Schizosaccharomyces pombe: one gene and its partner. The protein of the gene in region 2 interacts with the protein of the main gene of each other region in a pairwise test. Each region holds a gene or a part of one and is shown on either strand. Other genes may lie near its edges.

Evidence for each region.
Region 1: the proteins of pfl5 (region 2) and hsp16 interact in a two-hybrid assay, tested with the Schizosaccharomyces pombe proteins (one study listed by BioGRID).

The regions. Positions count from the first base shown.
Region 1 is NC_003423.3:2,659,599-2,663,144, reverse strand, and holds hsp16 (heat shock protein Hsp16), read left to right. Parts: upstream 1-2,152; 5' UTR 2,153-2,223; coding exon 2,224-2,655; 3' UTR 2,656-3,006; downstream 3,007-3,546. Other genes in the region: ric8 (synembryn ric8-like protein), read left to right, coding at 1-307, 386-448, 495-657; SPOM_SPBC3E7.17 (uncharacterized protein), read right to left, coding at 1,167-1,349.
Region 2 is NC_003423.3:4,419,234-4,426,172, reverse strand, and holds pfl5 (glycoprotein), read right to left. Parts: upstream 4,779-6,939; 5' UTR 4,761-4,778; coding exon 909-4,760; 3' UTR 565-908; downstream 1-564.

The DNA of each region.
Region 1 (3,546 bases), 1.8 Mb from region 2:
ACGCGTCCCTTTTAAATGAACTATGCGACGGGGATTCACAGCAAATTGCACGAATATTTGGAGCTGGATATGCGATGGGTATCTCACAACATTCCGAAACTATGCCATTTCCTAGCCCACTTTCAAAAGCCGCTTCACCAGTATTCCAGAAAAATTCAAGGGGCCAAGAAAATACTGAAGAAAATAACCTTGCAATCGATCCTATTACTGGGAGTATGTGCACAAATAGAAATAAATCTCAAAGACTTGAGTTAAGCCAAGAAGAGAAAGAGCGAGAAGCAGAAAGATTATTCTATTTGTTTCAACGGTAAGTTTGTTTGTTTATTTATTTTTTTTTAAAAAAATACATATATATGTCTCGAGTATATTTGGCTGACGTTGGTAGCTTGGAAAAAAATAGTACTATTCAAGTTACTAATCCTATCCAACAAGCTGTAAATAGCGGCTTGTATGAGAAATTGGATGATAATGATTCTGATTAAAAAAAACTAAAGTATAGACGTTGTCTTTTGTCTTATTTTTCAAATGAGTTCGGAGAGTTTCATATATCATTGTTATCATAGTTTTGTTGGACCTATACATATTTTACTGTTAATGTTTTCCACTTTTAAATTTCATGAAATTCTTCATTTTATCAAAATTAGCAAAGCAAGTTAGTACGTCGTGTATTTTACATTGTCTAGTGAGTTGGTAAACTTCATTTGTATACCGTAAATGTCTATATTTTAACCGTCGGATATTGCAATTCGCATTATGCGGTATGTAATATGTAATGAGTTATTAAACGACATTATTTTTAGTAAGATTTTGATCATGTATTATTCGGTAGGTAAAAGACTTAAAAGAAGACGGCAGAATGGAAAGATGGAAGTAATATCATGATATTCGGCAGTCATTAGGCATAATTTGCAGTTTCCCCATCTTTTCTCATAGTTGTTTATTAGTAATTAATAATAAACTTTGTCAACAATTCAGGAAAGGGTTTGTTTATTGAAAAAAGAGCGATAGCTTCCGTCGTAAATTTTTCATTTGCTTTTCGAATGTAGTGGTTGAATCATGTTATAAACCTCAATATTTATTTTCCTTGCTAGAGAGTTAGCTACTTTTTTCTAAACTAAAGATTAAAACGACAGCTGTACGAAATTGACTTTACGATAATATAGATTTCATTGATATGCGCATGAATAGGAAAACTCATGTTGGGTAAATAATGACGTAGGTTTTTTGTTGTGAAAACTCTCCGTCTCCGCAAATCGTAAGCGACGGGATGTACCCCACAATTTTAAGGATCTTCCAATTGAGTCACTTGTGAAATTTATTGCGTAAATCAAACACTCTACCGTGAGCATTACTGCAATGATGGAAAAAACATCTAATATGAGGTGCGACGATACAGTAGAACGTCCGATTCCTTCAAATATATTTATTATTTGAATATTTAAAAAGTTAACAATCGCAGAAATTTGCGTAACTTAACCCAACAATTGTGTAAAGTAAAGGAATTAACTATTCATATTGCTATGCTTTTAACGTAGATATTGCAGAAGAACAATTTTATGACGAACAAGAGGAAGTCGCATAAGTTTTATAGATTTATGAAATGTTTTCAAGTGCATGAGCAACAATTGCGTGAATGCACAAAATACGTCTTTGCCAATAAAGCGCTCAAATCATAAGATTAGAAAGAAAAATTCTTACGTTATGGTTTATTTACAAATCTAAATGCGTCCTAAAAATTTTATTTTGGTTAGTTGACTACAAAGTAAAAAAAAAAATAAGGTAAAGGAAACGATATACAGTCAATGAAATGAGTATTTTTCTAACTCTACTAGAATGATTATTTTCTAGATCTCTCTAGAAAGATAGCACAGCCTTGCGTACCGAAGTTTATATTTGAATCTGCCTCGGTTGTGGCGCATAAGTGGCAAATTTGGACTTTTCTAGAGCAAGCACTAACGAACATCTAAGTCCACCCAATACAGAGTTTGAGTGTTAGCAAAAGACGCCGTTCCGAAAGTACAAACTCCGGCAAATTCGTGATCTTTCACAACGTTTACGAGAAAATTCGAGTCATCGTACAATATATGACATCCATCCCATTCCGTGCTTCCCAGAAAGGTATAAATAAGGGTACTCCTTCCGCTAGTCCAGCATCGAACAAATACAGATTTGAATTGAATTCATATAATTTCAAGTTACTCGCAATTGTTTAAATTTTAAAAAATGTCTTTGCAACCTTTTTTCGGCTTTCCCCCTACTGTCAACGACTTGTTCTCTGACTTTGTTAGTTACTCCCCTCGTTTGAACAACCAAATTCCTGGGGAGTTGTCTCCTTCGATTGATGTGCATGAGGGTAAAGACACTGTTAGCGTTGATGTAGAACTCCCTGGTGTTAAGAAAGAGGACGTTCAAGTCCATTATGATAGCGGAAAACTTACTATTTCTGGCGAAGTCGTCAATGAGAGAAAGAATGAAAGCACCGAGGGTAACCAACGCTGGTCAGAGCGTCGCTTTGGCTCATTCTCTCGTACCATTACTATTCCAGCCAAGATTGATGCAGATCGCATTGAGGCCAACTTCAGTAATGGCCTATTGACTGTCACCTTGCCCAAGGTCGAGAAGTCCCAAACTAAGAAACAAATTGCTATTAAGTAAAATCGTCTCTTCCGATTTTAATATGATAGTTTCGAAATGGTTATGAGACCAATCTTGTTGGATTGTGAGCATATATTATTGTTTGATTTAACAATCAATCATAACATATGCAATTAATGATCCGCTTGCCATTGGATTGATGAATTTTGATAATGAATTGAACACGGTCTTCTAAACAGTAAAAGAGCATTTAAATTCCACATCAAGCAATTTATGGCCAGCTGTCAGACAGTGTTTTAATGATCTTGACTACCACTTGTTACGATTCTCCAATGATGAGCAAGTGATCTCTAGCAATTTTTCAAAATAAATAAATAAATAAATATTTTTTTATTCCTAATTAGAAAACAAGTTGTTTCAAAATGCTCTATCGTAATATGTGTAGATTTATTTTTATTTTTTTCAAAAAAAAAGAACAGTATTATGTAGCTCCTAATGAATTAACAGGAGTTACATTAGCATATCATAAAGTTGTGTATGCTCTTTGAGTCTTAAATCACCGGGGCAATGAAATCGTCTTCCTTTTGCGGAGATCTGATAATATGCTCTTAACAATTTTTGGTTTTATTAGTGAGCCATAAGGTTTGTTTAAGCGGAAGTTTTGTGATTTCATGTTAGGGACAAGGGCTTCATAGATGTGTTCCTTTCTATTTTTATTCTTTATATTACTAGTTCATTGGTTCATGGACACGCTAACCTAAAAGTAGTTAAATCTCCTTGGCCTTGAGCGAGTGTTTCCATACTACCACTAATCCTTGGGTGATCCAATGTTTCCTATAAAAAAAAGTACACATAAATATATAGCCTAGGGTACCTTTCTTTTTCAGTAATCAACATACAGTTTAAAGTTAAGAATGTTATGGTTTTCGTGTGTGATTAAACCAAATTCTT
Region 2 (6,939 bases):
ACTGTGGGGTACATATTACACCCGAATCTAAGTTTTTATTTAGTAATTAATGGGATTATGAATTGTTAATTCTTTAAATTAACTAAATTTGGTAATTGTTTTATTGCGCGATAAAATGGAAATGTTATTATCATGAAGGCTCATGAAAAGGACTCCTAAATGTCGTTTGGTAAGTTGTAATTAAATACAACGAAATACCAAATATTTTGTGAAAGCAACCTCACATTTAAACCTCTTTTAATATAAAAGTCATGAAAAGTTCTCTGGCGGTTATTTCATTTCATTCCTAAGTGTATTTGAACATTCCGATATGCTGCTTATTCGTCATTTATTTAATTGAATAATTGTTAACTAGCGAATGGGAAAATACTTTGCATTTTACAAAAAATTTGGGTGATATTTGAAAGAATGAAACGTCAAATCTAGAAACTGTGAATGTCCATTTTTTGTAAATTTTTATTATTAAATCACTGCTCGGAAAAGCAGAGTTCATGAATGGTGTATACACACAGCAGTAAGTCCTGTATCAAAACTTCACTAAATAAATCATTGCCTAACAATTGAGCAAAAGATTGTGAATATTATTATAAGAAAAATAGAAAATGGTTAAGCTACATAAAATCCGTTTTGAAAAAAGAAAAACGTGGTATTAAATATAACATAACGAATAAAATTAAGATTAAAACATATCCATATGCAAGTTAAACATACAACAGTTTAAGTTTTTAACCAACTGCCGAGAAAAAAGACAAAAAAACAAATAATTTACAAAACTGTGGTATAGAATCTAAGTAAACCACACAGACATCCATCAAAAAAAAATGATGTGACAAAGTTAAGCTGCTGTTATAATTGGTAGCATATTATAAGCAAAGAAGAACAAATTGATGCTTACATGCTTAAGCTAACTAACAAACATTCCAACAATAGTCAGAAGCATCCGTTTGGGAATTGCCTTGATTATCGTAATTATTGCACCCGGTAATATAATCATAGGATTTTTGATAGCTCCATGTATTACATTCAGACATGTCAGTAACACCAGCACTACACCAATCATACTGAATTTGGAAATGAGGCATGCAAATATAGCTACCTGTGCTTGTACCTTGAACAGTTACCGTTGAAGTCCAGCTGCCAGGATTAGAAATGTTGTCCACTTTAGAGTTGTATGAGTACAAGAGATAGGTTTGAGATAATCCCAATATCTTTAATTCACTCAATGATTTTTTCGACATAGTCGAAGAAGTAGTGAACTGAACTGTAGCATCGTACATATTGTTACCCTTCGGTGTGACACTAATTACCCTAATGTCAGCGGGAGGAAAGTTCACATTTTTAGAATGAAAATTAAAATTTAGATTTGGACACTCAGCAAACGGAGTAGAAGAACAAGCAGGAGCAGTTGGAGAAACAACAATTACGCTTCCAGATCTCGTACCAGTAGCGGGAACAGTAGTAGTAAACCAAGAAGTACCAGAACCCGTAGTCGAAGTTACCGTACCAGCAGTAGGTACTACGATCTCAACAGTTCCTGAGGTCGTACCTTGAGCAGGGATAGTCGAGGTAAACGGAATAGATCCGGAAACAATAGTCTCTGTGACGGTACCAGCGGTAGGTTCAACCACCTCAACAGTTCCTGATGTTGTACCTTGAGCAGGGAATGTGGAAGTATACCCAACAGAACCTGATATTATGGTCTCAGTAACGGTACCAGCGGTAGGTTCAACCACCTCAACAGTTCCTGATGTCGTACCTTGAGCAGGGATAGTCGAGGTAAACGGAATAGATCCGGAAACAATAGTCTCTGTGACGGTACCAGCGGTAGGTGCAACAATCTCAACAGTTCCTGATGTTGTACCTTGAGCAGGGAATGTGGAAGTATACCCAACAGAACCTGATATTATAGTCTCAGTAACGGTACCAGCGGTAGGTTCAACCACCTCAACAGTTCCTGATGTCGTACCTTGAGCAGGGATAGTCGAGGTAAACGGAATAGATCCGGAAACAATAGTCTCTGTGACGGTACCAGCGGTAGGTGCAACAATCTCAACAGTTCCTGATGTTGTACCTTGAGCAGGGAATGTGGAAGTATACCCAACAGAACCTGATATTATGGTCTCAGTAACGGTACCAGCGGTAGGTTCAACCACCTCAACAGTTCCTGATGTTGTACCTTGAGCAGGGAATGTGGAAGTATACCCAACAGAACCTGATATTATGGTCTCAGTAACGGTACCAGCGGTAGGTTCAACCACCTCAACAGTTCCTGATGTCGTACCTTGAGCAGGGATAGTCGAGGTAAACGGAATAGATCCGGAAACAATAGTCTCTGTGACGGTACCAGCAGTGGGTTCAACAACTATGACAGCACCAGACGAAGTGTCATGAGCAGTAATCGTTGACATAAAAGAAACTGACCCCGAAATAACAGTCTCAGTAACGGTTCCCGCAGTGGGTTCAACTACTTCCACGGTGCCAGAGGTAGTCCCACTAGCAGGGAACGTGGAAGTATATCCAACAGAACCAGAAACAATGGTCTCTGTAATAGTTCCAGCAGTGGGTTCAACTACTTCCACGGTACCAGAGGTAGTTCCATTAGCTGGGAATGTGGAAGTAAAAGTTTTAGAACCAGAAACAATGGTCTCTGTAATAGTTCCAGCAGTGGGTTCGACTACTTCCACGGTACCAGAGGTAGTTCCATTAGCTGGGAATGTGGAAGTAAATGCTTTAGAACCTGACACTATGGTCTCAGTGATAGTTCCAGCAGTGGGTTCAACCACCTCTACAGTGCCAGAGGTAGTTCCACTAGCAGGGAACGTGGAAGTATATCCAACAGAACCAGAAACAATGGTCTCAGTAACAGTTCCAGCAGTGGGTTCAACCACCTCTACAGTGCCAGAGGTAGTTCCACTAGCAGGGAACGTGGAAGTATATCCAACAGAACCAGAAACAATGGTCTCAGTAACAGTTCCAGCAGTGGGTTCAACCACCTCTACAGTGCCAGAGGTAGTTCCACTAGCAGGGAACGTGGAAGTATATCCAACAGAACCAGAAACAATGGTCTCTGTAATAGTTCCAGCAGTGGGTTCAACTACTTCCACGGTACCAGAGGTAGTTCCATTAGCTGGGAATGTGGAAGTAAATGCTTTAGAACCTGACACTATGGTCTCAGTGATAGTTCCAGCAGTGGGTTCAACCACCTCTACAGTGCCAGAGGTAGTTCCACTAGCAGGGAACGTGGAAGTAAAAGTTTTAGAACCAGAAACAATGGTCTCTGTAATAGTTCCAGCAGTGGGTTCAACTACTTCCACGGTACCAGAGGTAGTTCCATTAGCTGGGAATGTCGAAGTATATCCAACAGAACCAGAAACAATGGTCTCTGTAATAGTTCCAGCAGTGGGTTCAACTACTTCCACGGTACCAGAGGTAGTTCCATTAGCTGGGAATGTGGAAGTAAAAGTTTTAGAACCAGAAACAATGGTCTTTGTAATAGTTCCAGCAGTGGGTTCGACTACTTCCACGGTACCAGAGGTAGTTCCATTAGCTGGGAATGTGGAAGTAAATGCTTTAGAACCTGACACTATGGTCTCAGTGATAGTTCCAGCAGTGGGTTCAACCACCTCTACAGTGCCAGAGGTAGTTCCACTAGCAGGGAACGTGGAAGTATATCCAACAGAACCAGAAACAATGGTCTCAGTAACAGTTCCAGCAGTGGGTTCAACCACCTCTACAGTGCCAGAGGTAGTTCCATTAGCTGGGAATGTCGAAGTATATCCAACAGAACCAGAAACAATAGTCTCAGTGATAGTTCCAGCAGTGGGTTCAACTACTTCCACGGTACCAGAGGTAGTTCCATTAGCTGGGAATGTCGAAGTATATCCAACAGAACCAGAAACAATAGTCTCAGTGATAGTTCCAGCAGTGGGTTCAACTACTTCCACGGTACCAGAGGTAGTTCCATTAGCTGGGAATGTCGAAGTATATCCAACAGAACCAGAAACAATAGTCTCAGTGATAGTTCCAGCAGTGGGTTCAACCACCTCTACAGTGCCAGAGGTAGTTCCACTAGCAGGAAACGTGGAAGTATATCCAACAGAACCAGAAACAATCGTCTCAGTAATAGTTCCAGCAGTGGGTGAAGTTGTTTTTGACAATGACGCGCTAGTATCATTTATGGAGACTGTACTTAGAGTGCTTATTGTTGAGTGTGGTAGAATAGATAAGTCAATTGTAGAATTGGGGAGGTAGGTGGAGGTGTAGGTACTGTAAATAAGAGTATGGCTTTGGTTGTTGTAGCTAGTTGTTGGAATAATTAATTCAGTAGTTCCATTGATAGTATCTGTAATTGGCAGGGAGTTTGTGTTAGAATAACTGTTGGTTGTCGTTCCATTGGTTAAGGAGACTTGTGTGGTATTAGTGTTTTGTGGTGTAGCTGTTTGCGAAGGCTTGGAAATGGAAGTATTAGTATGTATTAAAGGTTGTGATGATATTGTCAATGTTGAGTAGTTTCCGGTGCATTGACTGTTTGTTATAGTAATTAAGGTAGTATATACACTTGCGTTGCTAAAGGAGTGCGTGTATGGCAACGTTGAAGTATATTCACTAGGGCCGTCACTGTAAATTGTTGTGTATTGTGAACATTCATTTGGCAAGTTTAAATCAAGAAATCCTTGTACATTTCTGTTCCATACTTTTGCAGTAGCCTTCCCAATATGAGCAAAGATAGCGAGAAAAATAAGATCTGTAAACACTAGCATGAAGTTGTGATGAGCTGCAAATTCCCAAATATAATGGCACAAGCACTTCTTTTATTTTTGTATATGAGCAAGTAAGTAATGCAACTTCAGACTCCATTTTTTCCAATTACCGACTGCCCGGTTTAAAATTTTGATAGTCCTCTGTCGGGAAAACATAGTGGCACAATACCTGTAATAAACAATCGGGGTATAGTAGACATTCAGCATCAATATTAGGACACGAGCTACTGTTACTTTTATATGAACAAATTGAACAGCTAACAAAAAAGGCATGAATTATACAAACATTTTTAGAGTACTTGTGTGTATGTATAAATTTATGTTTGCATATTTTGCTGATTGCAAAAAGCATATTTCAAAGAGCGCTACTAAATTCTCCCCTCCAAAAGTTTAATATCAAACGTTAAGATAGATAATAAAAAAATTCAAAAATTTACAAGCACGACCCTTTGATAGTTCAATTTCAGAAAAAAACATTACGTTGAAGTAAGAGTAAACTCAGGTTTTTCGTAACTACCGTATGTTGGTATGTCAGTTCGGATTCAAACCGTCAGTATAAAAATAGGAATAGGGATGGATTAACAATCAGATTACGGTATAACATCGCAAGCTATCGACAAATGCAGCTCATTCAATAATGTGCCTACCATACTAGAGTTACTTAAATTTTTTCTGTACGAATATATTTGTGGAATACATTATTTTTTTCTCAATGTATACAAAATAAGGAAAGGAATGTAAAAACGTATATCAAATACTAATCTAGCGTTGTTACGGTATCGTTAGGGTTTTGCAATTGGGACAACTTTAATCTAACTTGAGTAAGGTTAACGTTATTTTGTTAGCGAGATTATAACCCAGAAGAAAGCCAATATCTTCAGTTTTCAAATCTAAAGGCATTTCATCACATGAAGATTGAATTATATATTTTACTAAAGCAAATTATTTTTACCTTTAATTTAATTAAGCACCTTAGGAAAATAATAGAAGTTAGATTTACATTTGCATAAACTGAATTAAACCTAATTACAAATTTTTGTCTACTTGATTACTGTTAACCGCAATTTCCGGTGGTAACGTTACGTTAAAAACTCCGTTCATGAAAATAGAAATAAAACGCACAGCATTACAAAGCTAAGAATACGGATTATTAGGATGGAAGCAGAAATCAAGGGGTAAACGGCAAAACTCAATAAAAAATTTTCTTCTTTCATGGAAAATTTGGCTTGCAAAGCTACACCATATTTCAACGACTAATAGTCTCATTAGCTGAATGATTTAACCGCTATACTGCTTCCTTTAGATGATAAATATAATGCTAACTCAGTCATTAGATTTTAAGCTTTATGCTATATGTTTTATCACCTTCGACGCAATAGTAATGATATTATTAATTTTTTATTTATTTATTTTTTATTTTACGAATGTAATTTATAATAATGCTTTAAGAATTTATTAGAAACACAAATTTTTTTTTTTTTTTTTTTTTTTAATTTTATGAACAAAATACTTATTTGCGTTTTCTCCGTGAATGAAGAATTTTCTATATTGAAGGCAGATCCCATCAATTTTAGATGCGAAGCCGGTAAAATTAATTCCAAATAATATTCTTTGAAGAGTTTGTTAGCATGATGTTTTGTAAAAGATATATTCAAAATCTCTTGCTAAACATCATCTGTATTTGTTGTACTGTAAATCTAGTAAATAATTATTGGGTATGCCGTTCACAGCAAAAAGCTGTTGTTTTGTTTACGCAGTACTTTTAAAAGTTTGAACACAATTGGCTATCTTTAGTAGCACTACAATAGCTAAAAACTTATAGCTATCGTGGTGCAGAGAACGAATGGCTTATAGAAGTTAAAGCTCCTACTCTATAAAACGTAAAATGGCAACGTTTTTAACCTTTTTTTCTATGATTCTTCCATTTCTTCTAATTATACTACAAGTAAAAAATTTATGCAACATTTATAGATGTGGAAAAATTTCGAATCTTAGTCATAGTGCGCGATGTGACAAAACCCTTCCGAGCATGTTTCGTATAACGTCGGCAAATTCAGATTTCGATGCATAACTTTTAGTGTTTTCGGCACGTTAAAGTTTCACTATATGATTCTGTAACCCATCTATCAGTGTCTATTCAGAATCCACCACTGCCATTACTTTTTTTGTGAATTTAACA